Struthio camelus: one gene and its partners. The protein of the gene in region 2 purifies or fractionates together with the protein of the main gene of each other region. This does not show direct contact. Links are inferred from orthologs where the notes say so. Each region holds a gene or a part of one and is shown on either strand. Other genes may lie near its edges.

Region 1 (7,010 bases), on a different chromosome or scaffold from region 2:
GGACACCTCGGTTCGCCCGAAGGAGGAAGGAGAGACACGCACCCCGCACAGAGGGAGCCCCGGAGGAGACAGGAGAGCCCCGAAGGAGAGAGCCCAGGAGCGGAGCCGCCGCGACGCCGGAGAGCGAGGCGAGAACTCACGTCAGGGGGGGAAGGCGGCCTCCAGCGTCCGCGGGGGTCCCCGGCACAGCTCGGGCCGGCTGGGGGGGAGCCGCTGCCAAAGAGAAACAAGGAAAAGGGATAAATCCCTCGCACGCCTCTGCTCTCCTCTCCCGTCCGCCAGCCGCCGCACCTCCCGGCCCCAAACCGTCCGGCTCTGCCCGCAGGAGGAAGGGGTCAAGCAGCGAGCGGGTGAAGCACAACAGGCCCAAAACCCGCTCCAAGCAGTGCCCGAAACAGGCACTGAATCATCAGGAATTTTTTTTTGGACTGCAGCGGAGAGGAGGAAAAAATATCAGCAGCAATCCCCTTTCTGGAAAGTTTCTGTCCTTTGGAGAACAAGTTTCTCACACTCGGGATTTAAATAGGTTCCCGGAGGTGCCCAGCTTTGAGGAGCGCAGCCAAGCGCTGGCTCCCAACCAGGACGTCCTGCACCCAGGAGTCCCGCAGATCCAGGCTCTCTCTGCCTCGGCGTAGGCAGGCAGGAGAAAAAACAGCAAGGGTGGGAAAAAGGGAGCACTTCCCAGGGGTAGCAACCCCTGTTATTCGCGCTGTCAGGGAGGCCCCTGTTTCGGGCAGCGGGATGGCCGGCTGGCTCGGGTCCCAGCCCTTAGAGGGTTGCAAGCGTGGAAGCAGTTCCTCAACTGGGACAGCCCGTTCCTGTGGTTTTAATAAAACCACCCAGAGCTGTCGTGGGTGACCCAACCTTCCCACGAAGGCAGCTCAAGGCACTGTCTGGTTAGGAGAAACACGATCCTCGTGCTGGGAACCAGACCTCAGCTCTCTTCCGATCCCCGTTACTCCGTCTCCGGCACCGTTCAGAGCGTCGTACCCCTTCCCCGTGGCCCTCTCGCCCCCAGGGACTCGGCCCCGGCCGCTCACCTCATCTCGGGGATCGGACAACCGTCATCCCCCGTGCCCAGCTCACCCCCAGCGGGCTGGGGTGCCTGGTGGGCTTCACCGGGGGCGTCTCCATCCGCCTCCCCGCTGGGGCGTCTCCGGAAGGCGGTGAAGGTCTTGGACCCGAAGCGAGAGGGGACATCGGGGCAAAAAGGAGAGAGCCGGGCCCGGTCGGGGCTTCCCGGACCCTCCTTGCTGTCCATCTTGGCCAGGATCTCTTCCACGGTGGTGCCAGGGAATCGCTCCAGCTTGGCTGCCACCGGCACCGGCGTTACCTTGAAGGGAGCCGGGCCTTTGCGAGAGGGTGTCAGCGGGGCCGGGGGGAGCTCATCAGCGGGGGTCGAACCCACGTCCCCAGCAGCTGAAAGCGGAGGGGACGGGAGCCCCTTCCCGTTGGGGGTCTCGGGCGACTTGAGGCTGAAGGAAGGGCGTTTGAGGGCCCCTCCGGAGCCGCCCCCGGTGTACGGCTTGGGCCCCGCCAAGCGGTTGATCTTCTCGGCTGAGGGCAGCTCGGGGCGAGGGTGGCGCGGCCCCGGCGGGGGGTGCGGGAGGCAAGGTTTGGCAGGCACAGCTGGCTTGGGCAGCACACGAGGTTTGGGCCGGACAGGCGGTTTGGGGCGAGCGTTGCCTGTGAGAGACACGAGGAGAAAAACAGCGTGTGGGAGAAGTTACTACTCTGAGCCGAGAGCAGCAAACTCCTCTCGCGGGTAGACCTTGGACGGGAGCCTGGATCCCGTCCTCCTCCCCTGCCCTGGCCCCCGCAGAGGGGAAAGGCCCGCTGCAGACTGGACTGGCCTCCCCCAAACCCCGTTTCTCTGCGTGGGGGGACGTACCTTTCTCGGGGCTGCCTGCTGCCAGCCCGGCCCCCCCGTTGCCTTTGGCGGAGGCGCAGGGCAACGGGGGGCGCAGGGGCTGAGGCTGGGAGGCCATGGCGAAACGTGGGCTGAGGCTCAGCAGACTCGGTGCGCGGTCAGCCCCTGGGGAGAGAGAGGTGTTGCGAGGAAGGCGCTCGTATCGCCTTTCTGGGCTCTGATGTCCGTGGGACCCGCACCCAAGGAACCCCACTGTCACCCCGCCAACCCTCTTGTTCACCCGTACCAGCCTTTGCCCCCAAGCCCCAGCTCGCTCGTACCAACCGTGGCACAGGGCCGTAACCCCAAATGTTGCGGCAACCCCAAGTCTGTCCCCAAAGGCCATGCCAGTTCCTCAGTCACCTGTCCCAACCCCCCCCCAAACACTGTGCCAACCCACACACAGCACGACATCCCCCCGTTAACCTGTACCAACCCCAAAATACGATGCCAGCCCCCAACTAATTTGTACCAACCCCCTAGACGCTGCACTGACCCCCCCCGCCCAGCCCATGTGCCACCCCCAGGCAGCTTGTACCAACCCACGTGCAGCGTGTCACCCTCGATGAACTTGCAGCAAGCTCCCGCACCCCGTGCCAAGCCTGAGTTAGCCTGTGGCAACCCCCCAGACGCTACACCCGCCTGCATATAGCATGCCAGCCCCAATCAGTCTGTACCAAGCCCCCCTCTGAGATGCCAGGCCTACCCTCCGCCGCTACCAACACCCGGCGAGCGTGCCAACCATCGGTCAGCCTTTATCGGCTGCCCCGGGGCGCCGTGCCAACGGCCTCCGCAGCACGCCGAACCCACGCTGCGCCCAGGCCAACCCTCTCAGCGCCAAGCCCCGGGTTGCCGGTAGCACACCCTGCAAACACGGGGCCTCCGCCGCGCGCTGCCAACCCGTCCCACCCCTCCTGCCGGCTGGGCCAGTTTGGGGGGGGGGGGGGGCCACACTCACCTTCCCCGCAGCGGCCTCATGTCCGGGCTGGGACGGGGAGCAGGGGGACTCGGGGCAGGTCCGCAGAGGGAGGCGGCCCCCAGGCTGGCACGGGGATGGCGCTGGCGTTGGCCGGAGCTCGCGTGAGTGACTCACGAAGGCTGCGGGGACAGGAAAAACTCGCTCAGCTTCGCTCTCGCTGCTGCTGCCTCCTCCTCCTCCTCCTCCCAGCCCTGCGCTGCCCTCCCCTCCGCGCCCTGGGCGGTGGGATGGCTGGGGTGAGGTGGGGGGGGACCCCCATCGCCAGATTTTTTGGGCTCGGCCGCCCCCTCCTCCTCGCTGCGGGCCCCCCAGAGCCGGGGGGGGGGGGGGAACACGGACAAACACACACACACACATCTGGAAACCATCGGCCCCCAGCGCCCCGCTCCCCCCACCCCGGCTGCGGCCTGCTCCCGTCGCCTTGGCAACGCAGCCCCTGCTCGATTTGCCCTCGTAGGGGCCACTAGGGCCGGGCTAGCGGGCCCGGTGGGGGGGGGGTAAGCACGGCCTCCCGGGGCTCCCCCCGCTCCCGTAGCCCCCGGGGGTCCCGCAGCTCCCCGGGGGGGGGGGGAGGCTCCGCCCCACCCGACCCCACCCCACCGGTACCGCTCGCTCCCCCCCCTTCCTCCTCCCCGTCCCTACCGGGAGGTGCCCGGCGCGGCTCCGCTCACCCCCCCCGTCGCCCCCCCCCTCGTCGCCGTCGCCGCCGCCGCCGTCCCCGCCCGCGCTCACCCGCCGCCGCCGCCGCGCTGCATATTCATGAGCGCGCGCCCGCCCCGCCCCGCCCCGCCCCGCCCGCGACGTCACCCGCCCCGCCATAGAGCGCGGCGGGGCTAGAGCGGCCGCGGCGCCGCGTGGCCGCCACCGCCTCCCGCCCGCGTGTGCCGCCGGGAGGAAGGGCCGGAGCCGCCGCCCGGCTGCCATAGAGATGGCGGCCAGAGGGGCCCTCTGCCTCTCCCCCTCCCCAAGCCGAGGGCACTATGGGGCGGGGGTGGAGCAGCCGCCGGCGCCATAAAAGAGGGGGGGGTCGGCGGGGGGGGGGGCTGCCGACCCCCAGCTTGCGCCTACACCCTGGTGGGGGCTGGCGAGCAGGGTGGTACGTGCCATAGAGAATGGGGCTAGAAGGGCCTCCTGCCCACCTGTCCGTACCATAGAGAGTGACCCTCTGGGCCAGGGTTCTGGTGTGCTACCTCCACCCGGACCCTGGGTGGGCTCCAGTCGCAGCCCCCCCACCCCGCGGGACAGCCACCTGCCCCACGGCCACCCTCCCCCTCTCCCTCCAACTACAGCCACACTCTCGGGTCAGCCCCCTCACACCCAGCGGCAGCACACAGCCGGCCTGCAACACCCCGCTCTCCCTGCAACCAGCCGGCTCCCCTGGCCGCGAGGGTAGCGCGCGCGGCAGCGCAGCGGTGCTGGTAAATAAGCATGCGGTGAGGGCCTCGCCCCGTCCCCGCACAGCCCGCTGCGATTGAATTACAGCCTAGACCGGGAAGCGGCCGCAACAGGTCGAGCGGAGAGACGGTAATGGATGGCCCCGGAGAAGAGGCGCTAATCGGATCAGCCCCCGACCTCTGCAGCGGAGCCAGGGGCCAAGAGGGGCTGGGGCGGCCGTGCAAGCACTCGGCGCCATCCCCGACCCTCCGTGGGGGGACGCGAGGCCCAGAGCGGCCGGCTGTAGCACCCCCCCACACCCCACCCCGCGTCGGGGAGTGGAGGAGCCCTGGGCCCCATGCTTTCCGCTGAATTGCATCAGGATCGACCGTGGGGCCTCCATTAGGAGCCTGATGGCTCCTTAACGGAATTAGGGAGGCCGAAGGAGGGGCTCGGGGCTGCTAATGGACGGGCAGGGAGTGAGCTCAGCCTCTGGCCCCGTTTCAAGGACAAAACGGAGCTCGACCCCTGCCGGCTGCAGCTGCGAGGAAGCAGCCGCGGCACAACCCGGCCCCGGGGTGCCGCTGTGGGGGGAAGGAAGAAGGAGCCCACCCTGCTCCCTCTGCCTCCCCCGGCTCCGCACCCACACTCACTCCCTCGGTGGGGTTTTTTTATTCAATCTGATTTGCCACGTGAACGGACCCAAAATACAAAAAAAAAAAAAAAAAAAAAGAGAGAGAGAGACTGAAACAAACCCGAGTATTTAAAAAAAATAAATTGGTGAGAAACAGGGCTGAGGTGAGACTGAGGCCCCTCCTGGGCCTCCTTGTGATGGGGTCTCGCTCCCCCAACCAGGCACTGAGGGGAGAGGGCTTGCCTACCCTGCTCTTGCGTCTCCCTGCCCCCGGCGGTACGGGCAGGAGGACTCAAAGTCGAGGCAAGGTGGGTTCAGAGCCGGCTGTAGCCCAAGATCTGGGCCCCTGACGCGGGCCGGCCCGTCCCAGTCCTCTCGCTGACCTGGGAACCAGCCTGGAAACGGCAGGGACGGGGCTAATCCGAGCCGGACACAGAATCTTCCGAGCTGGGGGGCAGGCTGGCAACTCCCTCCTCCTCCGAGTCCTGTGGCAAGAGAGGACGTTAGGACAGCGGTACCTCGGCAGCTCCTGTTCACCTGCCTCTCCGAGGTGGGTCGGGGTGATGGCGGGGGGCTTTGCTGTCCCTTGGGAACAGGCAGAGGCGTCAACAGCACCGAGCCCGCGCGTCCTCCACCATGGGACCCGTAGGGGCCGCCTGCGCGTAGCATAAAGACGGGCCAGAGGGGCCACTCCCACAGGGATGAGATGAGCGAACAACAGACAAGACGTACCAGAGGGGTGCGCTCCCTGTAGAGGTGGGACGGGTGTACCATTCCCAAAGAGATGACCGGAGCGCACCATAGAGAAGATGGGGCAGAGGACCCAAGCCTGCCAACAGAAGTGGAAGAGCCATACCTCCTTCTTGCTCTCTCCAGAGGAGCTCTCATCACTGGAGACAAACTCCTTGCTCTTGAAGCTCTCACTCAAATTCTTGGCAGGGGACTTGGTGGAGGACAAAGACTTGGAGGCTGCACCTTTCTTCTCTGCTTTCCCCTTCATCTGCTTCTCCTGCTTCTTCTTCTTCTTTTTAGACCGCTCCCTGTGTTGGGAGGGTAGAAGGGAGAGAAGCGTTGCCTTGCTGACAGCCCGCAGCCAAGGATACTGCCCCCACGCACCCCAACCCCAGGCACCCCGATGGCTGGACAACAGACAGATTTCAGAGACGCAAAGCCCTGCCACCTCCCCCTACCAGCCCTCTCCGCTCAGCCCACTCACGTCTTGGAGCTTTCTGACTTGCTGCCCACACTGTACTCCTTCATGGCCTTCTCATAGTCCCTCCTGGCGTCTTCTGCCTTACGATCCCATTCCTGCAGCCAGAGCACAATGTTGGCAACGCCTTCTCCCGCATCCAGTCCTCCACCACCATCATCTGCACCGCCAGAGTCCAACACTGTCCCCACCCGCAGCGCACCAGCACTCCCACCACACAGCTCACCACCTCGGTCAAGACTGTGCCCGCCCAGCAGTTGCCCAACCCAAAGACATCACCTCCGCACTGCAACGCTTCTTTTCTAACCTCCTGTTTATGGAGTGCTAGGTTCCTGAGACCAACCAAGGGCCTGCCACGCTTCCTTCCTAACGTCCAGCCTCTCCCTCCTAGACATGGATCAGCTCCCCCCACCAGCAGAGCAACCCAGGTGCCCCTCGCAAATTCCTCCTCGTTGTGTGCCTAACCTCTTTCTTCTCCTTGGACATGGCTTTCCAGAGCTCCCCAGCCTTCTTAGACAAGTCTGTGATGCTGATGCCAGGATGGTCTGACTTGATCTTCTCGCGGTTGGCGTTCAGCCAGAGCATGTAAGCTGACATCGGCCTCTTAGGAGCATTGGGGTCTTTCCCTTTCTTGCTCTGGGAAGGAGGGAGAGAACAAGCATGAAAGCCTCGTGCAACGCTATTCACTAAAGACTTCAGGGCTGCCCCAAGACAAAGGGCTAGGTCTCAGCGTGCCTCCTATATCCCACCGGTAATTCAGCCCACCACTACACCGTCGGGGGAAACGGGTTGTCAGGCCACGCCTCCAACAACTCAAAGCACCCACTGGGCAGGTTGCTGGAGACAAGGTGTCCAAAAATCAAAAGGACCTGCCAGGCACAGGCACCGCAAACCCTTTGGAAGG
Region 2 (7,310 bases):
TCACACTCAATATTAGTCTGTTTCACACCAGGGGGAGACAAGTGTAGAGAGGAGCAGTGTGATTTGTTCCTGTTGAAAAATAAACATTTGTCTACCTCTACTCCTAAATTTGCATTATAGTCCCAACTGGATAGGTGAGAAGAGTGTGCTTTTCAAAAGCTATTCAGTAGAATTTTTTAGCTCCATAATAGTGAATGACTGAACATGTACGGAGCTAGACAAGTTTTAATTTCAAAAACATTTGTTGCATCATTCATAACAGATTTCAATTAAGACATGAGCAATTAGGCACACTGAGGAAATTTGGTTCAACATCTCCAAGACATGCCGTAAGAATATGTATTTCTAAATTTCTTTCCTTATGTAGTGCTTGTTTAGTAGCCTAATAGAGGGTAAATCTGTCCACTTAAGATTATGGTGACTTTCAGGAGAAATAAACAAACAAACAACTTTACTGTAAACTGACTGTCTTTATTTAAACCACTTATAGTGCACATTCATCTAGATTTCAGTTTAATACCATCAGAAAAGGATTAAACGTTTAAGCAGTATAGCCTTGTACTGTAAAAAAGCACAGAACTTCAATATACCAGTGCTTTCAAATAGATTAATAAAAGGCTATCCAAAATAAGTTTAGTGGCAAAGCGTAAACATAAATAAGGCCATAAACAAGTCCGCAACACTTTGAGGACTCTAGTCTTTCTGAACACCGGGTGGGAGCTGCAGTACACTGTGAACACTTGTTTTAGAATGGATAAATACATTAAACCTGACACACCTTCTAAAATGTTCAGATTAACTGAAGCTACTGCAAGCACCTCTTCCATGGAAACGGAAAATCCTTAGGTATCACAAGTTCTGCATGGACATTTTCCTGCTTTTGCAAGAGTTTGCAGCACTGCCCATCTTTGTTTTATTAGCCAATTAAATAGATTGCCAGGCTTGGAAAATTCCAATGGTGTAGGACAATCAATTTTATATGTGACTGAAGTGGACAAAGGAATTAATAGCATCATTACTGAAAAAAGGGAAAGAAAAAGAAAAAAAGGCCGTAAAGCTGGCATTTAGCAGGATCGGGGTGGGGGAGAAAGGGGCTATTTTTTTTGGCCGGGGTTGCTAAAACTTCAAAGAGGTAGGAGAGCACTGCACCTCTGCTTTCTTCTAAGATGAGACAGTGAAAAACATTAAGCTAAGACTGGACCAAGGGGTAAGAAAGATCACACTTATAGAGCACATGGGAGACAAAAGATTTCCTTCACTGATCTCAGAGCACTCGACAAGGTGGCCAGTTTAAGTTTACAGTGGAAAAGTGCAGACTCCATTCGCTTATGCTGAGGCAGAAAGAGACTCTAGAAGGCTTGCACTCGGTTTGGGAGAAAAGGGAACCTGCAATTAATGGACAGAAGAAAGTCCTGTATTTAACTATAACAGTCACAGAAGCATGGGTAGTGCTTCTCAGTTTATACAGAGGCAAAATAGAACTGTCACTGTATCTTACAGTACCACAAATAACTTTGACTAAAAGTTTTTTCAAGTACACTCCCTATCCACAACACAATGGATTAGAGTTATTTTGTAGAAGTTCCTACAGGACAAAATAATGGACTGCCACATATATTTCTTGGTTACATTCCTACTCGTACCAACACAGAGATGGTATTCGAATATGAATTAGGTAGAGCAGGACACAGTTTTAAAGCCTCATGTTGGGCTAGCGAGATCCTGAAGCTATGTGTCTCTTAGCACATCGGTGCATCTCTTGTTCTGAAACTTGGCAATGTTAACCTCAAACACGCAGAAAGCCTGCCTTGTTGTCACCACCAATTAGACATTTCAAACATCCTTCTTCTAACTTCAGAGAAGTGTAAAGCATTGTTTCGTTGATGTCTCCCACGTTTAAATCATCTCAACAGCTTCTACAGCCATATAAACCTATGTTTTTAATCAGAAATAAATGACACCATGCATTACATAAAGATATGGGCAGTGCACCATCATGTACACAAACTACCACACCCTAGCTCTGAAGCAGGCAACTGCCATGACCCTGGATCCAACAGAAGATAAGGAGCACTGATAATCGGGGTATTACAAGACACCCCACTCTTTGAGAGATTTTCAGGAAAATCCGTCTTAAACTTGACGACGTTTCCAAGAGCCATAAGCAGAGACTGCACGCAGCTCGTTAACACAAACCGCCTGCTCCCTGACCTCAGACTTCCCCAACTGCTGTCCCTTAAGAGGAAGTACAGGGCTGCCCACCCCCAGCGCCGACCTCCTCCCCCAGATCTCCCGTATCCCAGCTCCTCCCGGAGACCGCGGGAGGTGAGCGAGGGGACGACGACACCGCGGGCCTGCGCTGGAGCTAGGGCCGGGGCACAGCCCCCCTCGGCGGGGAGCAGCGCTGGCGCTCCGGAGCGGCCAGCTGGCACCGGGAAGGGGCCGCAGAAACGGGAAGTGGAGATGGGGGAAGGGGAGGGGAGGGGAGAGCAGAGCAGAGGACGGTCCCTGCGTGGCTTTCCCCCCCCTCTCTCTGCGGTGCCCGCTCGGCCCCCTGCCCGGCGGCCGCTCCCCGCCCTGCCCTGCCCTGCCGGCCGCCGCCGGACACCGGATCCCGCCCCCCGCCGGGCCCGGCTCCTGCCCGCCGGGCTCGCACCGTACAAGGAGCGGCGGGGGATGCCCGGCGCGGCCCTGCCCCCGCCGACCCTCCTCCCGCCCCCCTGACTGACAGGCCCCGGCGCAGGGAGAAGCTAAAAATACGAAACGCCGCGGCTGCTGGCGACCCCAAACGGCGAGGGCCGAGCTCGCCTCGCGGCTCGAGGAGCGAGGAGGCAAAAGGGGCGCGCCGGCTCGGCTGCGGCGCAGCGGCCCGCCCGCTCGCCCCTACCTTCTCCTCATCGGACAGCTGCTCCTCCAGGTCCGCCATCTTCCCGTCTGGCTCCGAACAGCGCCGCTCCGGCCGCCGCCCCCGTCCCCGTCTCCTCCCTCCCAGGCAGGAAGGGCGGGGCCCCGCGCCCCCTCCCCCCCACCGCGGCCCGCTGGGGAGGCGCCGTGACTGCGCATGCGCCTGGCCCGGGCCCGGGGCCGAGCCCGGGGCCGGGGGGCGGGGGTCCCGCTGCGGGGCGGCCGGAGGAGGGGAGGGGGCGGCCGGGCCGGGCCGGGCCGGGCCTCACGCTGTTAGCGTTGGCCTGGGCCGCCGCCGTGGGGCGGGAGGGGCCGCGGGGGGGCCCGGCGCTGAGGGAGGCGGAGGGCAGCGCCGTGGCGGTGCGGCTGCGGTCGGCGCTGGCCGCCGGGACAGAGGAGGCCCGCAGCCCTCGCCGCCATCGCCGTCCCCATCCCCGCCCCCCGCGGCCGGGGGCGCTCGGGCGGGCCGGAGTTGTGGGTCCAGCCTGGGCTGTGACTTGGCCTGTTTCAAATGGTGGTGGGCGCTGGGTGGGCCGGCCGCGGGGGCGAGGGCTGCCCCGGGGCGCTGCGCCCCGCTGAGCGTCCCCCGAGTGAGGGACGAGCAGCGCGCCGGCCCGCGCCGCGCCTGCTTTTCCTGGGTGCTAAAGTGAGTCACTTGAATGAGTCCACTGGAAGTCTGTGTGGGTGGAAAGAACTACAGATTGCCAGATTTCTGACATCCGCTCAGCAGCATGCCTAATGCGGGTTAGCGTCTCCTATGGCTAGGAGGGGGCGGGGCTGGGAATTTGCATGGAGGCAAGTTTCAAACAACAGAATGTTTGCTGGAATTTCATGAAGTTTGCTGGAAGAAACTTCAGAAAGTTCCGTTCGGTGCCAACAGCAAAGACCGAGAAAGTCGACCTTGTAAAGTGGTTGGTACTCTTGGATTGGATGAATAAAATGAGTGTAGTTAACCAGAAGAAACAACATTAGATAGGCTGGAAATTTCTTACCACCAAAATAAGAAACCTTTAGATAGGCTGGAAATTTCTTACCACCAAAATAAGAAACCTGAAGAATATCTTCTGGCTGCGTGGAACTGCAGGTGCCCAGAGGGATATTTGAAGATGATGGCTTTTAAGAACTGACTGAAAGAAGAGGTAATAAAACAAACTTTAGAGAAAAGCAGTAATAGAAGAAAGAGAACATTTGTGTAGCTAGCAGTGGGGATTTTGGACGAGTGAAATTCAATAACCTGTGCCAACAGTGTGACCAGTAGCAGGTGCCCAGGGAATGGTGAAAAAACAAGGCAAATACATACTGATACTTCTTGGGAATGTTTCCTCAGCTGCCAGTATTGTGGCTAGGAAGACAGTCCTCCTCGGTGACTCCCTCCTAACAAGGGTTGTCAAACTATTCTTCAAGGGTCTGATAGACAGCAGGAAATTTTGTTTTCTTACAGGAGCAAACATAAGGTCAGACTGGTAAAACAGGTAAGCAGGAGAAGCTGTTTTAATAATGATCCATTCTGGCAACAGTGCGATAGCAATAGACTCCACTGTACAGAAGCTGAACAATTTTAGAGGCCTAAAAAAGAAACCGAAGGAGGAGAACAGTCAGATGACCTGTTCAAGAACTCCTTCCTCTTCCTTGATCAGAAGTAGAAAGTACGTGGGAAGTATTTAACTTAGCCAAGTAGGACGTTTGGGTTTTATGGAACAGTAGAATAAACTGAATAGAACTGGGTGGCTATAGTCTTCATCTTACTAGTATGAGTAGCAATTTCCTGGATGATAAACTAGCAAGGGCAGCTGAGAGAATAAAATGAAAAGGGGAGACTAATGCCAGAGATATCCTTACACCACATGCTAATATATGACAACTCCAAAGCATTACGAAATGAGCCCAGTTATTTGTAAAGGATACATCCTGCAGTTTACTGTGCATTAATGCTAGGAACCTAAAATGCACAAGACAATTTGGAGCTTGAGAAAGATGATACGATTAGTATAACAACATTATTTGGTCAGGTCTTGTGCCTGGGCTATTGAAATCAATAGTTCAGACCTTGGTCCTAAGGACAGAAAGAGTAAAAGGACTAGTGTATTATACTGGAGAGGCCTGTAGTGGTCAGAGACATTTCAGAAGAATAGGTTCTTAATTATTTGTAGATTGAAGTTCTAGTTCATTCAGTGAAAGATAGTCTGCTGTGGACCACCCAATCTTGCTAGAGAGTGAGGTGAACTTCTTAAATATCTGCTCCTAATATGTAAGGAACTTTGTTACTGTTACTTCAGACTGAAGGAAATATGGTGGAAGGATTGTATGTCCAGTAATAACTCTTTGCTAATCTTTATAAAATATTAGTTTCTTAATGTCAAGCATGGTGTACTTCAAGGTGAACAAAGAAGAGCTGATCATTGACTTGAAAATTCAGAGATGCCAAGGTACATGTGAGTAGAGCATGATTAATGGTGTGAATGTAGCCAACTTCTAGCCGACAGATCTTGTTATGCTATAAAGTACATCCACAAGATGTGTTTTTTTTGCATGAGTATCCATACACAATAGTTGATGTAGTCACATGCAATATAGCAAAATATTCCCCAAATTTGTATAATCTTTCAAGGCTGTCACTCTAGGTGCCTTAAAATGTTCGTTGCATGCAAGTGAAAGAAAGTGATATTGGACAAGAAGTCATTGCAGTCAAAGGGGTATGTGGAAATTATGATGACACCATAAATCAATATATAAACAAAAGATATAAAAGTAAAAACCAATGAATGTACAAATTAGACAATGTGGCTTATTCAGGAAAGTTGAAAAGATATATAAAATATCTGTAGTTACTGAGGATAAAGACAACGGACATGTTAGGAACAAAATAATGGGCAAGCAAACCTTATATTTGATAAGGCCATTGCTAGATGCAAAATGATGAAGACTAGTGCAGAAAAGGCATGGTCTATGGGTATTTGGTTTTGGAACATCTCATATAATGTTTCTTAGACTCAGTGATAAAAGTTAGTGGTCTGTAGCAGGAGGAAGCGATGAGCAACATCTGTTGAACAGTTTCAAGCAGGAATTGATAACTTCCACCCGAGAGTCTTAGAGTAAATAGCTGAAGAGCTCTGTGAAATGCTCATGTTATTTTTTAACAAACTTAGGGATTTCCCAGTTACTAGGATATACCATGGAAACTGCTATATTTAAAATGTAAAAAGAGGTTCATTCAATAAGGTAGATCTTGTCATACAAACATGAGTAGTTTTCCGTTAAGATGACATATCTGGCTATTCGATGTACAATGTTTGCACAGAGTCTTTTCTTGAAATTTGCTGCAATCGCTTTGATGATGTGAATGACTTAGAGAAGAATTGTGCAGTCACGACAGATATTAAAGGGAATCTTCAATGTGGCACTCTGGCAGGTGCTTTAATGTGACCTTAGGACTTAATGGGAAAGCAGTAATTCAGCAGGATTAAGTAGGGCTCTCGCTTTGTGACTCAGTGTTGTTGTGAAGGGCTGGTGTGCCTTTTCAGAAAGAATGTGGAAATCTTGGAGAGTGTTTAAAGGAAGACCAAAAATGATCCTGAGGATATACAACAAATTTCAGGATGTGAGGCTTAAGGAGGTCCAATTAAGGAGATTATTGAAGAAAAGACTAAGAGGTGACTTAGGAAATGATTTATTTTCAGTGACTGCAGGATGAAGCATTGATACTCAAGTTAGCTTAGAATATATCTGCATCTTATATGAAGTCATACCTCTTTACTGAATTCTGAATACCTCAATTCTGAATTGATCTACTGGCTGAAAGTTAGCCATGCTCATCTTTTTGCTATAAAGTTCACCCACATCAGCTATGTTTTTCACATGCTAGTGTCTATACACAATAATGAAAAGTTCATGTGCACTGCAGTCACATAAAGTATAGCAAAATATCGTCAGTATTGTTAACTAGCTAGCTCATGTCTTAATAGATGTCTAGTCACACTACGTGAAACGCACTGTGGGCTGCCAAACCTATCTGATGAGCAGTGTGTGGTTAACTGACAGAAAGAGAGAAAACAAATTGATTTTAAAAAGACTTCTTTTTGAGTTCTAATTAATCTAAGCAAACATGATAGATCTACCAGTCTTGTACCTTGATATTTTGCACTACTATTTCTTCCATTTCTATGTATGACTTTGTAGGTCCAGAACCCTGGCCCTTGATTACAATGGGAGGAAGAGCACAGCAAGCCTTCCTGTGAGGCCTCCCTGCAGAGCCGTGAAAATGGTTTGGGAGAAATGCGGTTTCTGTGCTAAAGTGATCCTGATGACTGGCAAGTGGTCAGTTTGGCAGAGGGGGTTAGGAGAGCATACTTCTCCTGTCCTTTTGCACTGACCCCAACAGTTAAGATAAACAATGCAGAAAAATGAAA
Region 3 (7,359 bases), about 5.6 Mb from region 2:
AACTTCACTGGGTTTACCAGGCCCACACCAGCTTTATCTCAGTTAGCGTTCTCCCGTTAACCAGTGCTGACCCTCAGTTTAATTTACTCCCAACTTTTCTAATTGTCTGCCTTTCCACATAAGCCCACTCAGCACACACACAAATATCTTGACATTTTCTGGACCTTCCGATTCTCCTGGGACTTTTTTGTCCTCTTCTTGCCTATTACCTTTTGTTCTTTATTCTCTAGTATCGAGCCTACACAGTAAAACAAGACCAAAGCACAGGAGTCACTACTGCACCGACACCAGAACTGTAACAGCTCCTGAAGTAACAGCTGAAGACAAAACACCAGCATCTGAGAAACTCTCTTGCTAACAAGCGATCTAGAATTTTTTAGCAAAGGCTTTAAAAGTCAGAACAGCATGGTACTATTTTCTGCTTAAACTTCCCGCACAGTTGAGATTTATAGAATTACAATTTTTGTATCTCATTGTGTAGTCTGTAGTTTAATTTAAATTTCTTTTTAAAAAAAAAAAATCGTGATGATAAACACATCCATTTTCTTCATCTACGCTACTGCTTCCACTAGTGAAGTTGAGTTCTGCTAATAGGAGCGCTTAATTAAGATACTTGGGTAGAAACACACTGGATGTATCCAGCTCCACATGCCCTACCCTACCAGGAATGGACATGATCTGCTGTCTCAGCACTATCCTAGACAGGATTTTTAAAAATATGCAACCTACAAAACTTTAAGATAGACAAGTTGAGACACGCTCCCTTCCTCAACAAGCAAATTCATATTAAATAAACTATTCAGCGCTTGAACAGTCCTGTAGAAGATCCGGTTAAGACCTTCGGAAGATTGCACTTAACTGCCTGTAAACATATACATGTATCAACTACGTAGATTTGTTCTGCTGAACTTTCAAAGTGACTCATCTGGAGTAGAGAATATTAAAATACAATTAGGTTTACGGCACAAATATTTTACAGCAAATTTTATTTAAAAATAATTTAGTAAGCTTCAGACATAATCTGGAACATAATCTGGCCAACTGTCCACAGCCCAATGCAAGCGAATATTCTGTGATCCCCTGCACTATTACTGCCCTGCTTGAAAGTCCAGTCCCTTTAGCATCTGCCTGGTACGTATCAGACACCTGAAGCATCACTGGTTCCCGCTACTCGATTTCAGCTTCCAGGAAAGACCAGTCCATGCTGCCAAGCCTTGCCATTATTTTTCAGGGACACCAGCCTGCCCGTAGCTAAAGCGGCCAGTCTCACAATGGCACAACAAGTGCTATTCGTCTCCCACGCCGCAGCCCTGCCGAGAGGCAAGCGGATGCTGCGCGGCAAACAGGGTCCCTGATTAGCGGGCTGCCCTGCGTCCCAGCCTGCCGAGACAGGAGCAGCGCAGGAAACCACCCGCGTCCTCTGCAGCTCTCCTCAGACAACAGAAAGATTCTCGGAGACATGAAGGAGAAAAGGCTTGGCCACCCTTCTTGCTCCTCAGCTCCTGCAGGGAGCAACAGGATCATTCTTTTGCTCCTCCCTCCAACAACACCAAGGAGAGAAAAAGGGAACGTGAGCCACTGCAACAGTCCTTCCCAGTCTGGAAATAAAAGCTATTCTGGATGCACCTCAGGTCTGAGAAGGGGCAAAGAACTTAAGAGAAACGAGAAGAACAAAAATTGATGCAGGGAAAGGAAAAGGAGAGGAGAAAAGGTGTCTAACAAACATAGCAAACGGACAACAAAGCAGGGGGAAGCGTAGTTAGGAGCTCCCACAGCAGGTACAAAAGTCGCCTTCAACAATAAAAGTGGGAGAGCAGGCAAAGTACACCGTACTAGTCACTGAACAAGCAGATTGCGGCAACCAAGACACAAACTGAAAACCCCCTTAATCCTGCGGTATAATCCTTGTTTACTCATTCTGTGATTTAAGGGCCCTGGTAATACTGAGAAATAACATGCCCTCTTCTAGTTGCACTTCATATTCTCCATGGCCGGGAAGCAGGGGAAAACAGGCTCCCCCACACCTCCCCCCTCCACAGCCTCCTGTAACAGGGCTTTTACTGGGCTTCCCTCATCCTGGATCGCTGGTTCTTCGCAGTTCCCTTTCTGTCTCTCTGCTGTTTCTCAGCGCTTCTCCCATGCAAGGAGCCGGGCAGCAACTCTCGGCACTGTCGGCGCTGTCCGAGCCGTTTCGCCCTAGCTGCAGCGGCGCTGAGCAGACCCCAGCTTCCGCCAAAGCCCGGCGGGACCCCCCGACGGCGGGCACCGGTCCGGCTCCAGCAGCCCGCCCACCCCCAGCAGGAAAACCTCCGGTAAGGTGCAGCGGGCACAGGTTGCTACAGGAAGTTACTCGAGCCAAAAGGTATCTTCCACGTCAGTATAGGGTTTTTTTTTTTCCTTTTGCATTGAATAGCTGTCTACCTTTCTTCTTGTGGTTAGCCGAATAAATAAAACCCACAAGTCGCCTGCTAACTCGTGATGCGGCGGCATCGAGCAGTGGAAGTTCGCAGCGAGACGCGACGTTGCCGGCCCTTGCTAAGGCTGAAACGCCGAAGAGCCGCGGCCCGAAGCAGCGTCCCCCCCCCCCCCCCCCCCGGTTAGGCTCGGCTCGCCCGCGACCCCGCGGCCAGACAAAGGCGGCACGGCAGAAGCAGCCCCGCTCGGCAGCGAACAAAGAGCCCGGCCGCGGGGCGCGCTCCCCCGCGCAGCGGCGGCCCCGGCTCCCCGCCCTGCCCCGCGGCCGACGCCGCGCCGGCCACGGCCCCGCTCGCCTCCTGCCCCGCGGCCAGCGGAGCGCACAAGAGGGAGAGGGCGGCGGGTGCCATGAGGGGGGGCAGGGCAGGGCAGGGCAGGGCAGGGCGAGCCGCGCGGCTACCTTGGATGCCGGTCTGGTGGGACATGTCGTTCGCTCGCACCCGCCGCGCCGCGCCGCGCCGGCACCGCAAGCCGCTGCGCCCCGGGGCACTGCGCCGAGGCCCGGCCCGGCCCGGCCCGGCCGCGCACACGTGACGCGCCCGCGCCACTCAGCGGCGGCGAGCGCGGCGCCGGCCGGGGCTGGGGCTGGGGCTGGGGCCGGGGCCACGGCGGCGGCGGGCGGCGCCGCTGCTGCTGCCGCCCCCTAGAGCAAGGCTCCGCCGCGGAGCCCCTCTCGGCTCGACCTGGCCCGGCCCGGCCATGCCCGGGATGATTTGTTCGGGATCTTCTCGCCTCGCCGACCGCTCGCCCCGTGGGGCCGTGGTCAGGGCGCCCCGCCGGTCCTGCCGCCCCCGGCGGGGGGCAGCGGCGGCGGCGGCGCGGCAGGATCGCAGCTCGGCCGGGCTCCTGCGGCCTCCTCCCTAGCGCCCGGGGACGAGGCCCCGCGGGGTCTCCCAACTACAGGGAAATTACCGAGGTGACTGCAGAGGTCCGCAGGAGTCGGCCGCGGAGAGCTGTAGCTCTTGCTTGGGGCAGCAGGGAAAGGGCCACAAGGGAACTTAAAAAGGAGGACACCAAGCTGCTGATGTGTTTTGCAGAATTTGTGTTAAGTAGTCATCAAATAAATTGCTCAGAGATGAGGGAACAGAGCCCAGAACCACCGTTCTCTCCACTCGAGCCGTTGTTCCTCATGGGGGAGTCACTCTTTTTCTCCAGTTAATTTTGCTTTATTTGCTACTTGGTGGCACAGCTTCAACAGGAATAGCAAAGGTTTTCTCTATTTCACCGTGTTACTGATGCTTGAGACACTTTTCTGAGACACTTTTGTTAAGGTGTGAATGCAGGAGTGGGGGGGCATCTACTTCTCAGTGCATTGCCTACCCACAAGACCAATGGCTTTTACACCTTTTGACTTGTGTGGAAAAAGTTTTCTTAAACTTTCTTTTTTTAAAGTTCCCACTGGAAGAGAGCCAAGTATAGTGAATTTAAGCATGCTCTGATGTAGCTTTGCTTTTGATAGTTACCTAACACAGGCACCTGGGTCCACAGGCTGAAAACCACCATCCTCTGATGATAAAAAGATGGGTACTACTTCTTTCCTCTTCTTTAAGAGTGGCTTCTGTGTTCTGTGCTGTAGCCAGTGTTTTTAATCTGTGTTGTGGTCTGGATTAGATTGCACAGGTGAAATGTTCAGGTGTTTGTAGCTGTAGCAGGACTGCAGGCACTTTAATTGAGTCTTGATGCTGATGTTCTTTCAGATTCATAAGGAGTTAGCAGGGGTTTTATGGGTCACTAGTCAACATGAGAACATAAAAAATGCTGTAACAAGGCATACAAGGAAGTAACCCAGCAGTCTATCCCTCCCCACCAATGGCACAGGCAAGAAAAGAAGAATAACGCAAGCATATACTTCTCTGGTATACTTTTCCAGGGATTTCTGAAGTCAACTCAGGGATTTCTAAACGGATTTATTTGTGTTGGTAGATGTGTTTGTCTACACTTTGTCACATCCCCGGTTTGAAGACACCAGATGAGGGAGTCAGTGTCCCGTTTGGGAAATGGCAACTAGCATTGTAATTGCAGTATATGAGCTCTACTGTGTGATGTTAGTCCAGCAAGTAAGAAGTCACTGTGGAAACGTCTCACCCACTGGAGAGCTGGAACTAACTGTGAGGGCTGCAGCAGCTGGGGAAGTAGAAAAGCTGCAGTTTATCTTTTTTCTAGCAACAAGGCTGAGAGAGGGAAAAGACTTCACATGAAACCAGGAGATGAGAGACAGCAGATACCTCCCAGAGAACAGTGAAGTCAGCTGTAATTCCTCTATTATAAGCCTCCCAGCACAAAGGTCATTAAAAGCTAAAGCAAGTCTTGGACAAGAGCTTTTCCAAAAGAAAAGAAAGCATTGAAGTTCCAGTCAGAGTGGCAACCAAAGATGGGACACTATCACAATTACTTTAAATCGTGATCCTGTGTTCTTGGTTCCTCCCAGGTGTTGGCATTAGTGTTTGTGAAGGACTGATTTGGCTGAATGTCTCTTGAGGGAAAAGTTTTCAGACAGATCAGTTCCTTGATCCAGTTGCTCATGTGTCCCCAGGAGCACTAGTACTGCCACAGTGTGGTAATGAGGATGCACAGCCAAGTCTGTGGGACTCTGCTTTCAACGGCAGCCCACACTTAGACTGGAAGTGTTAGACTGATATGAGACTACAGTATCTGTCACCAAATTGAGATCACCTTGACTATCTGAGGTGACATCACATCGATCCAACCAATCTGTCAGAGGGGTACAGTACAGAAAGTGGATGGGCAGTAAAGTACAGAAGTAGAATTTTGACATCTGCTTAGTAGGAAACTTAAAAAAATGAAGGCTTGTATACACTGGCAGATTTGGAAGAGATTTTATTTCTTTATGACAATAAAAAGAATAGCATTGAAATGGTGCTCTTTTCTCACTGGAACTAATACTGTGTAGACTTCATATTCAGTTTAATAGGAAAAAAGGCAAAAAAAGTATTTTTTTTAATCTGAATATCAAAAATATGTTCCTATATTACAGTGTTTCATGTTTGACAAAGAAGAGAGATGTTCCAGAAAGACAAGCGAAACTGAGCAAGGATTTTATGTTTAAGAATTTTAAGAACTTTATGCTAAACTTCTGAATTTTAGTGTGCTTCAGAGTCTTATTAACTGCTATCCAAATCACAAGTCATTATGAAGAGTCTCAGGATAAGAATACAGAGGTTTATTTATTAGCATATTTATTTATTAGCATTATTTTGCCTTCTTATAAGTTGCATATTCTTCCCTGTACTTGAATTCATTTTTTTCCAGTAGACATCAGTTTTTGCACGTGGTTAAGGCTGTGATGGTTTTGGTAGAAAGCGCATACTGCAGAACAGCCCACATTGTAGTAAGATTCTTTTAACTGAATAATACACAACATTTACAAGAAGGAAATATTTTTACTAGACTTTGGTATAGTATTTTCTGCGTGACCTTTGGGTTTTGGGGTTTTTTTTTTTTTTTGGCAGTTTTTACTGTTTCTTTAATTCTTTCAGAAATACGTCAAAACTTCAACTCTGTTTACCGTAAGTAGCCCTATTCCCATACACCCATAGGTAACTAAACGAAGAAATCACACTCTCTCCTACAGTCAGATTTGATTATAACTTCGAGGATATGTGTGAAAGGTGCTCTTATGCACATCAAAATGGACTTTGAGCATGCCAGTGCTTGCTTGCGTAAGTCTCAATATAGGTAACTCTAATCAACCACCACATCACACTATGTTCAAATCAAGTAGAAAGGTATTTCTTTGTAATGGCTAAAAGTTATGGGTAGTCACCTACCTGTGAAGAAATACTGCTATTCATCTTTTGCTAAATGTATATATAAGAGAAATTAATGCTCTCTTGCCATTATAGCAAATGTTTCTTTATTACAGTATAAAGGACAGCTCTCACTTTGTGTACTTTAGTAAGTATAGCACTGTGAAGATAGCTCTACATTTTTGTAAGCTCTTAGGTATTTCTGTTTGTTTCTCATAAATATGAGCAAGTAAACTATCTAACCCCTGTCCCTTAAAATTCATAATTAGACAGGCTTTTCTTTCTGGCTGCTTAAACAGTGGCCAGGATCCAGGGTGGCCAGGAACATGCTAGGTAGACAGCTATTTTAAGCTGAATTGCAATATAGTGGATAGCCAAGTTTTAAGTTACTGGAGGCTTTCTAACCACTGCCAATAGGTGATAACAGATTTGTAGCAATAGGTTTTGCTATCCTAGAAGTTGTAGAGATTTGATTCTTGTCATGTTTTGGTACACTTTGATAACAAGAAGCAAATGCCCTGCAAAATAAACTGAATGACGAACAATTGGTGGAAATTCTGATATTTCTTACATGTTTCTGTTAAGTGCTTCCTGACGCTATCTAGGAGCTCATTCTGAATATGGTTTATGAGTTTTGTCCATTTCTAGCCATTATTCTGATCTGGTAAATCTGTAAATAGTCATGGCACCTGCAATTTTTATGCACCTTCACAGTGTAATGGGTAACGTGACGGTCAAATTGTTTCATGTCCTCAGTGATTTTTAAATCACTGAATTCTTCAAATGTGATTCGTTCTTTCATAGAGTTACACTGAGAGTCGTGATTACCTAATGTGAAAAATGCTTTGGAATCCAGTCACCTTTTGGGTCACGCTTTTCGGATTTTTGTTCTGCCTCCATGATGTGTTATCTGAATGCGTTCCAGAAGTGCATTAAACAGTATGACTAGCATTTCTGTGGTTCTTAGTTTTGTTTTTTTCTCTCCAAAGGGAAAAATTACTTTAATTATTTAAAACCTGTGTTTGCTTTGTAAATTATTAGTGACAAGGTCAAAGACGTTTCCCTTGTGCTTAGAGTGCTTAGGATGACTTTTAAGAATCGTCTTAGATGATGCTCA
Region 4 (7,321 bases), on a different chromosome or scaffold from region 2:
AATTATTTGTGCAAGTACAACTTGGTTATCAAAAGTCTGCATGTATCAGGCAAAGGACATCGGCATTGCCAAAATAAATTTGTTGTAAAAGTGTTATGTCTGATTATTTGTATTATTCAACCACCACCCAGACGTCCTATTATGTTAAGAGCTGCACAAGGCTGTAAGAAACTGTTCCACCACCAGGGATGTATGACTAATTTAAGATAAGAAACAACAATTGGACATTAGAAGCAAAATAAAAAGAATGGGAGAGGAGAATTAGGGTAAGCGTGACAGGCAGTCTGTGGTGGCATGCTCCTGCATGAACCATTAGTGAGTTTTATGTAAGGGGAGAAATGGTTTGATATAAATAAATAAGAAATATGATACCTGTATTCCTTACTGGGCATTTGCCTAGCCCAATAGAGATTTCTGTGGTATGTACTTAGCTTTCATATTAGGGTATTATTCTCACTCACACCATGCCCAGTTACACCACTTTTTTAAGGATCTCCAAATGGCACTGCATAGATAGCAGAGGACAGAGGAACACAGCCAAAACACTACAGCTGGGCTCGTACCACAAAAATTCGCCATCTGTATCCAGCTAGGCACCTGCCCAGCAAGGGTTATTGATACTGCATTTCTTTGTTATTGAACTCTTTATACTGCTAGAGCAATATAAAGGGATCTTAGTGTGACTGAGCTTTGGTCTCAGTCTAATGTGTGTTTTCCTGTTTTACATTTCCAGTTCGAATGTGATTTTGTTTGAGTATCAATGTAAATAAATCACTTGCTATGATGCCTAGTTGAACTGATGCTGCCTCTGAATGCAAAGGATAACAAACCTTGCTGTATACTTCAGTGAAAGGAACACATACAGAATACAAGGATAAATGTTTATAGAGGTATCTGATCGCCAGTCCCCTTGCTAGTCTAAGGTCACCCTGCCAGATCTTGGGCCTTTAGTTATTCTGAAAGTAGATTCTGGGCACCTTCCCAGTAAGTCTGACTGAGTTGAGGTCCTCCTTGTCTTTGTCTTTTGGAACTTGTGGCCCATAATGCACAGTGATATAACAAGACACCTTACAAATAAAGCATTTAGTAGCTGAAAGAAAGCATTTAGTGAAAAAAGGGTCATAAAATAACAACAACAACAACAATCTGTATGCATGTGTTTACAATGTAAAATTTACAAGGTAACCTAAGCAAACTGGACTCTGCCAGGCACTCAAGTGTCACAGATTAATTCCCCCAGATAATTCCCAGCCCTTTGTGAATGTGCTCTTTTCTCAACCTTCCTAAGTCTTTTCCCCTCCAGTGGCACTGTCTCTCAACTATTGTTTGTAGAAAAGTGGCTTATCTTGAGCTATACTTTTTCCTTTCATTTTCCTTTTGAATTGAACTTTTGTGTTCATGGAGCAACTATGTCAAAACAGAATACTCATAAATTATGACAGAGCAGTTCCTCTTCCATCATAAGACTTAGAAACATTTAAAATCTAGTAGGTGAAGCTGGAATTCCTGTCTGTTCTTAAAGGTTACAACAAAAAGCAAGTGAGAGTGAACGTACTAGAGTAAAACAACCTTTATTGTATCTATCATCTAGGGTGACATGTATAATAATTAATATTACTTAAGATGAAATACAGCAGCCATCATCTCTTTCACTCCAGAAATTTAGAAAAGGAGGATTGCTCAAATCGCACAATAGTATGTTGCCGAACAAACCAAGAACACAACAGCTTAGCAGAAAAGACTGATACATGCAGTAGTCTGACAGAAATGCCATGGCATTAAAATGTAACAATAGTGTATATTTTATAAGCTGTTCTTCTAGAGAAAAGTCTAGCAGAGCTGCTTCGTATTGCTTCTATAGACTGGTCTTCTCATCCAATTAACAATCAATTATTAGTACTGTACACCGAGGGAGAAAAAGTGGCTTACGCTTGACAGCAGGCTTGTTGTGTTCTCCTTTCCTCAGAGTACTTTGTATAAATGGTAAAGGAGTTGGCCCCACACAATCTGCCTCATATCTATACTATACGTACAGACAGGCAGCAGCAAATGCAATCTTTGCCACACTGCTCAAAAATACTTTGCCATGTGACCTAAAAAGAACATTTGGATGAGGGAACTTAACTGACCAGCAGCAGTGCCAATCAGGGAAAACTGTAAGCTGTAGCAGAAGCTACATTTGTTAAAGAGAAAAAAAGAAAATCTCTCCATGCTCTGTGGCAGAGTTTGCTCTCCTGCCCCAGCCACTTGTAGAAGGACCATGCCACTCTCTTGGGGCAGCCAACCCCTCGGTGGGGGACATGTGTGACCCCAGGATGCGCCCCCAGCTCTTCAGCCCCAGGTCGGGGGCTTTAACCAAAGTGCTGGAGCCCTCGCAGGCGTCAGGCACTGAGCGTTGCCCCCGGGATGCAGGGAGCCGCCGAAGGGCTGGTGGTTGCCGAAACCCTGTCATCAGGCAAGCTCACGGGGCTGGCATGTTAACCAGGGAGGTACTGAGGAGCCGCTCTTAATTTCTGGAGACCTGTAATACAGTTCTGATTTGAATAATTTTTCAGCACTATAGCTTTTACAAATAATGACTACCTGTTGCATACTAATAGGGTAGCATCTGTGTTGCTCTTCAGCAGGATACATCAGTTTTGCCCACTAAAACTTCTCGTTTACCAGGACAAGAAGTCCCAGGATACCAGCGCCGTCCCAGTTCTTCCCCAGACGAGCTGACTGGCCCATTTCAGGTGACTCTGCGCATTGGACCTGGCTGCCACCCCGAGACCAGGTTTCAAACCCTTTCCCCAGAGCCGGATGCTGACCTTACCTCAGCCCGCCTGGACTGTTTTTGTAATGGTATCTAGTGCCCTCAGACTTCAGCAGTCCCAAGGGCTTTTGCCTTTCAGGGTAATACTTTGCACCTAGACGAGCAGGGTGGGAGACCCTGTGTGCCCAAGGGTGCTGGCACGCCACCCCCCACTTGGACTGCACTTGCCCAGAGCATGCCGCAATCACTGCTGTTCAGACTCAGATGAATTAAGCCTCCCAATAACTTTATGAGACAAGCATGCATTTACCATCTTTCTTTGACAGATAAACGTCAGGGAGCCACCGTGGCTTGTACAAGGTCTCACTGTGCTTGAGTGGAGGAGTCAGAAACACCCTGACTGTTGCCGTTGTGCGTTACCCAGTTAGGCTGTGCCTCTTTCCCACGCTTTAGCCTCTCCTCCCTTTCATGTGTTCTTCGAACGCTTCGCAAATTTAAGGTCTTTAATTTCATATCCCTGTGCTCCAGAAGGATAGGTCCGTGCCTTTTGTAGTTTAGCCACAGCCAGGAACTTGCTGATTCCCTCAGATACTCAGCCCTGCCTCTGGGTGAACCTGTGCCTGCCTTAAGCAAAGATATAATGCGGTGACTGTTGTTTTGTTGCTGCAGATCTCTGGAGAGAGGGTTTTCGTGGAGTCTTAGCTTGGAAGGGAAAAAAAAATCAACACGCAACGCTATACAGCTCATGGCTGGGAAATTAAGATGTTGCCCCCTCCCACCCCCAAATCAGGCTTCCTTATAGGAAGTGACTGGCAGAGGCGCCCCTACAACACGGCATGCGGGGAGCTCGAGGAAAGTAGTTTGCAGCGAGAGCAGCTTGGCTGGCTGACAGAGGGGGCGGATCCTGCGCACAGGCGGGGAGCGCCGCGCCGGAGCGGCCCCGGCAGCGGCGGGGCTATTTCAGGAGCCGGCGGAGGCGGCGGCCGGGGCCGGGGCGCGCCGCGCCGGGGCCGCGGGCACCGACCGGGGAGCCATGGGGTTAGCCGCGCCGGCGGGCTGAGCGAGGATTTGCGAGCGGAGGCGAAGGCAGCCGGGAAAGACTCCTTTGCATCGGATTCGAGGGAAAAGGGAGTCGTTTTCTTTTTTTCTTTCTTTTTTTTTTTTTTTTTCGGGCTGCATCACAACTTGAGCTGCATCGAGGCGAGCCAGGCAGAGAGGGGAGCGGGAGGGGAAGGAGAAGGAGAGGGAGAGGGAGGAGGAGAAGCTGCCGCCGAGGGACTGGGATTCGTTTTATTGAAACAAATCAGTGCTCGGGAGAGAGGGAGCGAGGGGGAGGAGGGGGAGGGCAGGACGAGGGGGATCGGGAAAGAAAAGTGTGAGGGCTGTGGCTGGGAGAAGCAGAAGTGATGAGAAAGCAAGCGGGGAGGCTGGAGGAGGCTGCTCGTGCTGCTGCGACCGGGCTCCGCGGGCACCGCCGCTCCTGCTGCCGCCGCCGCCGCCGCAGCCGGGCGCCCCCGCGGCCGCCGCTGCCGCCCCGCCGCCCCCGGCCCGCGCCATGGAGGCGCTGAACGGCCCCGGCCCCGGCCCCGGGGACACGCTGCGGCCGCCGCCGCCCAGCCACCACCACCCGCACGCCGAGAAGAAGCGGCTGAACCGAGCCCCGTCCCCCGCCAGACCCTTCCTCAAGGACCTGCACGCCCGCGCCGCCTCCGCCAAGCCGCCGCCGGCGCCCCCCAAGTCTCCCAGCCTCCCCGGCCGGGCGCAGCCGCCGCCACCGCCGCCGTCGTCGCCTCACGCCGCGGGGCTGCTGGCGGCGCAGGGCCGCCTCTCCCGCCGCCCCGCCGCCCCCGGGGCCAAGGCGGCCGCCGCTGCTGCCGCTGCTGCCGGGCGGGCGGCCGCCGCCAAAGCCGCCCCCTGCGCCAAGCGGGCGGCCCGCGGGCCGGAGCCCGGGCCCGGCGGCCGCGGCGGGGGGCGGCAGCCCGGCGGCGAGGCGGCCCCGCCGCCCGGCAAGGGCAGGAAGGCGAAGCGGGGCGCGGCGGCGGGCAGCGGCCATGCGGCGGCGGCGGCGCTGGCGCTGGCCCGCGTCAGCCACACGGACAGCAGCTCCGACCTCTCCGACTGCCCCTCCGAGCCGCTCTCCGACGAGCAGCGCCTGGCCCCGGCCGCCAGCAGCGACGCCGAGTCCGGCACCGGCTCCAGCGACCGCGAGCGGGAGCCGCCCCGCCACGGACCCGCCGCCGGCCCCGGCCGCGGCGCCCCGCTGCCCCCCGGCGGCCCCCGCGGCGACCCCGCGGCCCCGCTGCCCGCCCCCCCGGGGGCCGCCGCCGCCGCCGCGCCGGGCGGAGGGCGAGCGCCGGGCCGCGGCGAGCCGCCGCGGGCGGCCCAGGAGGAGCTGCAGCGGGAGATGGAGGAGCTGCGCTCGGAGAACGAGTACCTCAAGGTGAGACCCGCCGAGACCCCCCCCCCCGCCCGGGGCAGCGGTGACTCGGGGGTGCCCGTCTGGGGCGGGGGTGGGGGGGCCGCGCCGCGGACCGCCGGGTTTACTCGCGCCCGTCGGGGCCGCTGCGGGCAGCGCGGGCGGAGGTCGGCGCGGAGCGGGGCCGTAGCAAGGCGTCGCAGGGGCAGGTAGGGGGCTTCGGCGTGTGGTCGTGTTTCTCTGCAAAAGGCTTGATTTATAGAGGCTGGATGAACGCGAGGCCGGCGCGACGGGTGCGGTAAGAGTGCTGTGGCTGGGCGGTGCGTGATCCCTCAGCCATGCCCAAACTCTTTCTGAAGCAGAGTGAGCACTCCGCTGGTTACCGGAGACCTCGCTTTCCAGGAATTGTTATCCTCAATATCACCCTTACAGGAAAGAAAAAAAAAAAAACAACTCATTTGATATCGGAAAGAGGACAGCGTCTTGTCTGTTTATCGTGTTACTTTGTCACTGAAGAGCCAAGCCATTCATTGTGAAGTACTAACGAAGTAACAATAGCAGCCGTAAAAGGAGTCTTTGCATCGTTGTACAGGTAGAAAAGCACACATATGTGCATTCAGCCTCTGAGAAAACGGGAAAGCTAAATTCAGGAGTGCTCTGAGCTGATCTGACCTGCAGAAACCTTTTGTTGGACTAGTACTTACAACATGATCTTTTGGCACAGCAAAGAGGCTGCATCCATAAAGATCTATAAATAAAATAAACTGAGATAATCATGTAACCACAGATACTGTACCATTTGACTCTGCTGCTGGTGAGGACGATCTTTGTTCTCTGAATATCACAAACACCATTTCTTCTCAAGCAAAATGACCATGGGCATCCAAGGGATTTTTGCTCTAGTGAGGACTGGAGTTTCGTAACCTTGGGAGAAAGGAGGATGGCGAAGAGGTAGACTAGGCTTGTTAAGCAGTTTTGGCTAGGAGACAAGAAACGATGTGCAGCATAGCAAAAGGTTAACAGCAGGGGTGCTGCAAGGTTCTGTGCTGTCTGGTGCTGCTTCATGAACTGGAATAAGGAGTGAGCAATGATACAGCAAATTTTTCAGATGACACAGATTTTTTTTTTGATGTGAAGTCCAGCAAAGACTGGACAGAACTCCATAGGCAGCTTAATCAGGGGAGGTGAATGGGTAAAAAGTGAAGGCAGAGGATGCGAAATAAATCTCAGTACTGAAAATTCAAAGCATTCAGAGAGAAAAAGGGCTGAATATATACTTTTCTAGGTTTTAAATGCGTTGTTTTAACTCAGGAGCATCACAGTGGAAAGAGCAATGCTCAGTGTGCAACTGCAGGTAGTACTAGATTGCATTAGAAACTGAATGGCAAAAAAGCAAAGAAAATATCATAATGTTTTATAGATTCATAGCCATTATATGCACTGGAATACTGTGGGCAGTGCTGGTCATCTAGAAAAGGATAATGCAGAACTAGAGCAATAAAAACTATTGGGGCATAGCAAAGCTCTTACAAGATTCATATTGGATAGAAGACTCTGTAGTGCACTAGAGAAATGCAATAAAGGTCAGTAAAAAGATGAATAGCGTAGAGAACCTTTATCAGAAGCTTCTGTTCTGCATGAGAGAAACAAGGGGACATGTAATGAAATCCAGACTTGTTAAAGGATTGCTTTTACAAATAGTTAAACTGCATTGGTCTTTGGGGTCAAAAGCCCAGTAATACCCAGAAGAGGAACTGGCTATCCTTTCAGATGACAGGGTTTGCAGACTTACAGTACTTAACTTTGTGAAGCAGGTGATGAACTTGGTGAAGCTGACCATTATGAAGAATGTGTTAAGCTGCTTGTTTCGTGTCCAAGGTAGTTTCTAATTATGGGAGACTTAAAAAAAAAAAAAAAAAAAAAAAAAAAGGGGGGGGGGGTTGATGTTATGGAGAATGTTACCTGCCTACTGTGAGTTTCCGTGCCCCTTCCTCTGAGTTGTCTAGGACAGGCCACCGTGAGGGTACTGGACCCCTGGTACTGACCAGAGGACCTGATCGACAGATCCTAGGTAGCGAGCTTTATTCTGCGTCATTTCTCATTTCTTGCCCTGTGTGACAGTGTCTTCAAGTCTTTCACCTTGATGTCTC

What was found.
Region 1: the proteins of CAPZA2 (region 2) and TNKS1BP1 purify together in Homo sapiens (affinity purification with mass spectrometry; 4 studies listed by BioGRID and IntAct, counting the BioPlex papers as one, with this or other methods). This does not show direct contact. The link is inferred for Struthio camelus from reciprocal best matches to the Homo sapiens genes CAPZA2 and TNKS1BP1.
Region 3: the proteins of CAPZA2 (region 2) and TWF1 purify together in Homo sapiens (affinity purification with mass spectrometry; 3 studies listed by BioGRID and IntAct, with this or other methods). This does not show direct contact. The link is inferred for Struthio camelus from reciprocal best matches to the Homo sapiens genes CAPZA2 and TWF1.
Region 4: the proteins of CAPZA2 (region 2) and MTCL1 purify together in Homo sapiens (affinity purification with mass spectrometry; 3 studies listed by BioGRID and IntAct, counting the BioPlex papers as one, with this or other methods). This does not show direct contact. The link is inferred for Struthio camelus from reciprocal best matches to the Homo sapiens genes CAPZA2 and MTCL1.

Annotation. Positions count from the first base shown.
Region 1 is NC_090946.1:7,563,470-7,570,479, reverse strand, and holds the start of TNKS1BP1 (182 kDa tankyrase-1-binding protein), read right to left. Parts: upstream 3,008-7,010; 5' UTR 2,868-3,007; intron 2,036-2,867; 5' UTR 1,989-2,035; coding exon 1,892-1,988; intron 1,687-1,891; coding exon 1,041-1,686; intron 214-1,040; coding exon 141-213; intron 1-140. Other genes in the region: FACT complex subunit SSRP1, read right to left, coding at 5,313-5,381, 5,753-5,936, 6,113-6,204, 6,572-6,742.
Region 2 is NC_090942.1:29,001,452-29,008,761, forward strand, and holds the start of CAPZA2 (F-actin-capping protein subunit alpha-2), read right to left. Parts: upstream 3,017-7,310; 5' UTR 2,927-3,016; coding exon 2,888-2,926; intron 1-2,887. UniProt on the Homo sapiens protein: F-actin-capping proteins bind in a Ca(2+)-independent manner to the fast growing ends of actin filaments (barbed end) thereby blocking the exchange of subunits at these ends.
Region 3 is NC_090942.1:34,630,631-34,637,989, forward strand, and holds the start of TWF1 (twinfilin-1), read right to left. Parts: upstream 3,011-7,359; 5' UTR 2,901-3,010; coding exon 2,876-2,900; intron 2,363-2,875; coding exon of another isoform or gene 1,956-2,362; exon of another isoform or gene 1-1,955. Other genes in the region: TMEM117 (transmembrane protein 117), read left to right, coding at 1,956-2,362. UniProt on the Homo sapiens protein: Actin-binding protein involved in motile and morphological processes. Inhibits actin polymerization, likely by sequestering G-actin. By capping the barbed ends of filaments, it also regulates motility.
Region 4 is NC_090943.1:116,633,764-116,641,084, reverse strand, and holds the start of MTCL1 (microtubule cross-linking factor 1), read left to right. Parts: upstream 1-4,310; coding exon 4,311-5,195; intron 5,196-7,321. UniProt on the Homo sapiens protein: Microtubule-associated factor involved in the late phase of epithelial polarization and microtubule dynamics regulation.